2 linked regions of the Saccharomyces cerevisiae S288C genome follow. The protein of the gene in region 1 purifies or fractionates together with the protein of each later gene. This does not show direct contact. Each region holds a gene or a part of one and is shown in the gene's direction. Other genes may lie near its edges.

Region 1 (3,758 bases):
AAAGAGCGTACCCGTTTTTGTTTTTTTAGCTAATGCCCCTTTGCATTATGCCGAAGGGTAGAAACTTTGTTCAAGATTATGCTTTCTTTGTAATTTTAAACATAGTCTTGCACTTATTTTTACTGCATGTGGATAAAAGTTTTTCGAATCGTTTGCAGGCAAATGTAAACTATTACTTTTTAATGATTTCTGATACTCTTTGATTCCATTCTGTCATACTTTTTTCTGCATTTGAAACGCTAATTAAGTATTTCTTGGCCCTGCTTCTTTTCCTTTTGATTTCTTTTTTTATTCTCAAGTTTTTAATTTCTGGAGAATCTCTTTTTTTGTTTATTTTGTTAACACAGTTAGTGGAGCCTTGTAGTATCGAGAGTAGACTATCTTTGGAAAGCAATGCGAGTTGAGAGATTGTGGAGTGTACTACAGAACCAATATTAAACACAATCTTTCCTCAAACTGTAACACCGAGTTTTTTTCCCCACCAATCGTGAATCCGATAGCATATACTTTTGTCTAGAAATTTCAATAAACAACAGAATAACGAAGAGTGCTAAGGGACAAATGCAAAACCCTCCGTTGATTCGTCCCGATATGTATAATCAGGGAAGCAGCTCAATGGCTACTTATAATGCCTCTGAGAAGAATCTAAATGAGCATCCTTCTCCGCAAATTGCACAGCCCAGCACGTCCCAAAAGTTACCTTATAGAATAAATCCTACAACCACTAATGGGGACACCGACATATCTGTTAACAGCAATCCTATCCAGCCTCCTTTGCCAAACTTGATGCATCTATCTGGTCCGTCTGACTATAGATCGATGCATCAAAGTCCTATACATCCATCTTATATCATCCCTCCGCATTCAAATGAAAGAAAACAATCAGCTTCTTACAACAGACCTCAAAATGCTCATGTTAGTATTCAACCTTCCGTGGTATTCCCCCCTAAAAGTTATTCCATATCTTATGCACCTTATCAAATAAATCCCCCTTTACCAAATGGACTTCCGAACCAGAGCATATCTTTGAATAAGGAGTATATTGCAGAGGAGCAACTATCAACCCTCCCATCTCGCAATACCAGTGTTACTACTGCACCTCCTTCTTTTCAAAACAGTGCTGATACCGCTAAAAATTCAGCTGATAATAATGATAATAATGATAATGTAACCAAACCTGTTCCTGATAAAGACACCCAACTCATAAGTAGTTCAGGCAAAACTTTAAGAAATACTAGAAGAGCTGCTCAAAATAGAACCGCTCAAAAGGCATTTAGACAAAGGAAAGAAAAATACATCAAGAATCTCGAACAAAAATCAAAGATATTTGACGATTTACTAGCAGAAAATAATAACTTCAAATCATTAAACGATTCATTAAGAAATGACAACAACATTTTAATAGCTCAGCATGAAGCTATAAGGAATGCAATTACTATGTTAAGAAGTGAGTATGATGTCTTATGTAACGAAAACAACATGTTGAAGAATGAGAATAGTATAATAAAAAATGAACACAACATGTCAAGAAATGAAAATGAAAACCTAAAACTTGAGAATAAACGCTTCCACGCTGAATATATACGAATGATCGAGGATATTGAAAATACTAAAAGAAAGGAACAAGAACAACGAGATGAAATAGAGCAACTAAAAAAAAAAATAAGATCCCTGGAGGAAATAGTAGGGAGACACTCGGATAGTGCCACGTAATACAATAAATAGGGAGCAGATATTGATCTCTAGTACTGGAAGATCAACTTTTTGCTTTGGCCTTATAGGTCATATAAATTTTAATAATTAATGTAACAGACAAATCAAGGTGTGATTCTGTTCTGATAAAATTTGTTATTTTCCAGAATGTTCTAGAAGTGTTCTTTCATCTAATGGCATCGCGTTTGAATAGGGGGTGCACGGACTTTTTTTTTTGAATAAACCCCTGTGATTCATTGTATCTAAGCTCATCAAACCCCCTAGTTACTGACTCACGCACACACATATATATACATATATATGCATATGTAAGCATGAAAAGTTTGACTTCTATTATCTATTCCAGGAACCCTGAAACAAGCGAGTGAAAATCTTTCAAGGTTAAATATGTTAAGACAAGCTACAAAAGCACCAATACAAAAATATTTACAGAGAACGCAACTATTAAGGCGAAGTACTCCACGAATATACACTATTGTACAGTGTAAAAGATCTATTTGCAGTTTTAATGCAAGACCTCGAGTAGCCAATAAACTTCTATCAGATATAAAAACAAATGCATTAAATGAAGTCGCTATTTCAACCTGCGCCCTCAAGAGCTCATATGGATTGCCCAATTTCAAAAGAACGTACGTCCAAATGAGGATGGATCCCAATCAGCAACCGGAAAAGCCAGCTTTAGAACAATTTGGTACAAACTTGACAAAATTAGCGCGCGACGGTAAATTAGACCCTGTCATTGGCAGAGACGAAGAAATCGCAAGAGCTATTCAAATTTTATCAAGAAGAACAAAAAATAATCCATGTTTGATCGGTCGAGCTGGTGTCGGTAAAACCGCCCTTATTGATGGGTTAGCTCAAAGAATTGTTGCTGGGGAGGTCCCTGACTCGTTGAAAGATAAAGATCTAGTAGCTTTGGATTTGGGATCTTTGATTGCTGGCGCCAAATATAGAGGTGAATTCGAAGAACGTTTAAAAAAGGTTTTAGAAGAAATTGACAAGGCCAATGGTAAGGTTATTGTTTTCATTGATGAAGTTCATATGCTGCTTGGCTTAGGTAAAACTGATGGTAGTATGGATGCTTCTAACATCTTAAAGCCAAAACTGGCCCGTGGGCTACGTTGTATCTCTGCAACCACTCTTGATGAATTCAAAATCATTGAAAAAGATCCGGCTTTATCGAGAAGGTTTCAGCCTATCTTATTGAATGAGCCGAGCGTCTCCGATACGATTTCTATACTAAGAGGTTTAAAAGAAAGGTACGAGGTTCATCATGGTGTAAGGATCACTGATACAGCTTTAGTGTCTGCTGCAGTTCTTTCAAATCGTTATATAACAGACAGGTTTCTACCTGATAAAGCCATTGATCTAGTTGACGAAGCTTGTGCTGTACTACGTTTACAACATGAATCCAAACCGGATGAAATACAGAAACTGGATCGTGCTATTATGAAAATACAAATAGAACTGGAATCTTTAAAGAAAGAGACCGACCCTGTTTCCGTGGAAAGAAGAGAAGCGTTGGAAAAGGACCTAGAAATGAAAAATGATGAATTAAACAGATTAACAAAAATATGGGACGCTGAAAGAGCTGAAATTGAATCTATCAAAAATGCTAAGGCAAATTTGGAACAAGCAAGAATTGAGTTGGAAAAGTGTCAGAGAGAGGGTGATTACACTAAAGCATCCGAGTTGCGATATTCCAGAATTCCTGACTTGGAGAAGAAGGTAGCTTTAAGCGAGAAGAGTAAGGACGGAGATAAAGTAAATTTACTTCATGATTCAGTTACTTCTGACGATATTTCTAAGGTTGTTGCCAAAATGACTGGTATTCCTACAGAAACGGTGATGAAAGGCGACAAGGACCGCCTACTGTATATGGAAAATTCTTTAAAAGAAAGAGTCGTTGGCCAAGACGAGGCCATTGCTGCTATTTCTGATGCTGTACGTCTTCAAAGGGCTGGTTTGACCAGTGAAAAGAGACCTATTGCCAGCTTTATGTTCTTAGGTCCTACTGGTACTGGTAAAACAGAATTGACCAAGGC
Region 2 (3,628 bases), on another chromosome or scaffold:
AATGGACGATGGGGAAGAAGGTGAGCGTGATGGCGTAAATAATACAAACATTTGTAATTTATAGAAACCTATTAAGTATTCAGTTAGATTCCTTCAGCTGCATGACGTATAGTTTATATGGACATCATACGTATTTTTATCAATATAGAGACTAGCATGTTTTTACACTTTTTATTTTTGTTGTTCAATTAGGGGCCTCGTCCATATATGTATATATATTACATAATCTGCAATCATCAATTAGGGGAGGAATAATCGGCAGAGGTATAAATACAAAATTTAAAACAATTCAAGTGAATGAAAAGGTGAACCAACAAACAGAATATTACCACGTATCAAGGAAAAACTAATAATAGTATATTGGCGCATTTAGCAGGATGTTCTGGAAAAAGGATCCCACCGTCAGTTGGGAAAGAAAAAATATCAATGACATTGATTTTAGTCGTTTTAATGTGGCCATAATTGGTGGCACAGGTGGACTTGGACGTGCAATAAGTAGAGAGCTGGCCCAAAGAAATGCCAGGGTTACTGTTGTCGGGCAAACTTTTAGGGACGAGGACCTAAAAGATAAAATTAACTTTGTCAAGGCTGATTTAAGTTTAGTGTCAGAATGCAAGCGTATATCTCATAGTGATGAAATTCCCTACGAGGAGTTAACACATCTGATTTTCACTACGGGTATTTTTGCATCACGCCAGAGACAAGCTACAAGTGAGGGTTTGGAAAAAGACATGGCAGTGAGCTATTTGAGTAGATACATTATCTTCCATGATGTGGCGAAGCGATTAGGAATTAGTAGGACAAAAAAAGACGATTTGCCAAAAGTTTTCATAGCAGGGTTTCCAGGAAATGGTCAGGTGGGAGACCCAGATGACTTGAATTCTGATGAAAAGAAGTATAGTGCCTACGCTACACATATGAACACTGTGGCAGCCAATGAAAGTCTGGTCATAGACGCTAAAGACAGATACACGAATATAGATACTTTCGGTTTGAACCCTGGGCTGATCAAAACGAACATTCGTAATAATCTTCTTGGCAGTGACACCTACCTCAGCCGCATTACAGAATGGATAATCAGCTGGACCTGTCAAAGCGCAGAGACGTATGCGAAAACAATATGCACCCTGATTGCGAGCCCCGCTATCGAATCACGCAGTGGTACAATGTTCAGCAACAAAGGCGATGCTATTTTACCTTCGCCTGGTTTGACCAAAGATGTTGTTGAGAAGTTTATGGAAAATTCGGAACTTCTAGTTGAAAAGGCCTTGCGTAATCAAAGTCCTTTCACTTCCAGTAACGAATGACTTGCTGTAACTAATTGGTTTATATTTAAATATTTCACTTTTTAAAGGGCGTTTGCATGCGACCATCGTCGATGATTCATATTGTTCGGATGCGGAAGATGGCTTCCATGAGTTTTGCACGCCGTCTCATGTGATTGTTGGAGTCATAGCTCGCATATCTTCCTATTGTCAGATGTAATATCGACGGAAATGGCATCTTGGAGTATGGAAGCACTATTCTGCTTTGCTCCAATATTTAGGATGCCGCATTTTTCATATTTTTTTTTACATTTTTCGCTTACGTATATAAATTGCTAGCAAGTATTCGCTCTCTCTGTCTTGGTTATCTAATTGCTAACCGTCGCAATTGAAAAGAAAAAAAAAATACAGAATAGACGATAGCGGATTGAACGATAGCATACTATTGAGTGCGTTTTCCCTTCTCATTTGAAAATTACTATCCGTTTTTCACTGCCGAAAGACTTGATGTTGAGGACGAGGCTTACTAATTGCAGTCTATGGAGGCCCTACTACACGTCATCGCTTAGTAGAGTACCAAGAGCACCTCCAGATAAAGTCTTGGGGTTATCTGAACACTTCAAAAAGGTAAAAAATGTTAACAAAATTGACCTGACCGTAGGAATATATAAAGATGGTTGGGGCAAAGTGACGACGTTTCCCTCCGTTGCAAAAGCTCAAAAATTGATTGAATCTCATTTAGAGTTGAATAAGAATCTTTCATATTTACCAATAACAGGTTCCAAAGAATTTCAGGAAAACGTTATGAAATTTTTGTTCAAGGAATCATGTCCGCAGTTTGGGCCATTTTATTTAGCCCATGATAGAATCAGCTTTGTTCAGACTTTGAGTGGTACAGGCGCCCTAGCTGTAGCAGCTAAATTCTTGGCATTATTTATTTCAAGAGATATTTGGATACCTGACCCATCATGGGCAAATCATAAGAACATTTTTCAGAACAATGGTTTTGAAAATATTTACCGGTATTCCTATTATAAGGACGGTCAGATAGACATCGACGGATGGATTGAGCAATTGAAAACCTTTGCATATAACAACCAGCAAGAAAACAATAAGAACCCACCTTGCATAATCTTGCATGCGTGTTGTCACAACCCTACAGGTCTCGACCCAACTAAAGAGCAATGGGAAAAGATTATAGATACTATATATGAGCTAAAAATGGTACCCATTGTTGATATGGCTTATCAGGGTTTAGAGTCTGGTAACTTACTAAAGGACGCATATTTATTGAGGCTATGTCTCAATGTAAATAAATATCCAAATTGGAGTAACGGTATCTTTCTTTGTCAATCTTTTGCCAAGAACATGGGCCTTTATGGTGAACGAGTTGGTTCCTTAAGCGTTATCACGCCGGCAACTGCGAACAATGGAAAGTTCAACCCTCTACAACAGAAAAACTCATTGCAGCAAAATATTGACTCCCAATTAAAAAAGATTGTCAGAGGTATGTATTCTTCTCCACCAGGATACGGTTCTCGTGTGGTAAATGTAGTATTATCAGATTTCAAATTGAAACAGCAATGGTTCAAGGATGTTGATTTCATGGTTCAGAGATTGCATCACGTCAGACAGGAGATGTTTGACCGTCTAGGGTGGCCGGATCTTGTAAATTTCGCACAACAGCACGGTATGTTTTACTATACAAGGTTTAGTCCAAAGCAAGTCGAAATATTGAGAAACAATTACTTCGTCTATTTAACAGGTGATGGTAGATTGTCGCTTAGCGGAGTCAATGATTCGAACGTTGATTACTTATGTGAATCTCTTGAAGCAGTCTCGAAAATGGACAAACTCGCATAATTTTTTCACCTTACAGTTCACCTTTGTCTTTATTTTTTTATTACTTTTCCCTTCTCATTTTGCCACACAATAATTTATAGAATATAATAATTTTTTGTAATAATTAATAAACCTTTTTTTTATCTACTCTATATACACTTTTCAGATAACTAGATTGGATTAATTCGTGATCGAACTAGTTATTAAATTTTAAATGAAAAGAAAGCTAGCGCTAGCCAACTATTTTAATTACGGTGGCAGTGCATCATATCCTTACATTTCATTTTAGGTTTCCTATGTTTTCTTCTTTCAAATCATTTCCTGCCAAAAATTTTTTTCAGTTTCCTACCGAATTTACTGTGACCGTGACGGTCATGCGACTTATCTTTTATAGCTGCATCATCGTTATGAAGCTTGTGTATCTCTCCATTTTTATCAATGATAGTCACCGGAACGCTTAATGGTAAGGCTGTAGGCAGGTCAGGATTTGATGACTCCAAAGTGGCTGTTCCACCAGATAT

The links. The genes of interacting proteins can lie anywhere in the genome.
Region 2: the proteins of HSP78 (region 1) and AAT1 purify together in Saccharomyces cerevisiae (affinity purification with mass spectrometry, with the first as the bait; 2 studies listed by BioGRID). This does not show direct contact.

What each region holds. Positions count from the first base shown.
Region 1 is NC_001136.10:972,586-976,343, reverse strand, and holds the start of HSP78 (chaperone ATPase HSP78), read left to right. Parts: upstream 1-2,100; coding exon 2,101-3,758. Other genes in the region: YAP6 (Yap6p), read left to right, coding at 562-1,713. UniProt on the Saccharomyces cerevisiae protein: Required, in concert with mitochondrial Hsp70 (SSC1), for the dissociation, resolubilization and refolding of aggregates of damaged proteins in the mitochondrial matrix after heat stress.
Region 2 is NC_001143.9:235,764-239,391, forward strand, and holds AAT1 (aspartate transaminase AAT1), read left to right. Parts: upstream 1-1,772; coding exon 1,773-3,128; downstream 3,129-3,628. Other genes in the region: SLD2 (Sld2p), read left to right, coding at 1-24; YKL107W (putative short-chain dehydrogenase/reductase), read left to right, coding at 378-1,307; YKL106C-A (uncharacterized protein), read right to left, coding at 1,384-1,503; SEG2 (Seg2p), read right to left, coding at 3,422-3,628. UniProt on the Saccharomyces cerevisiae protein: Plays a key role in amino acid metabolism. Important for metabolite exchange between mitochondria and cytosol.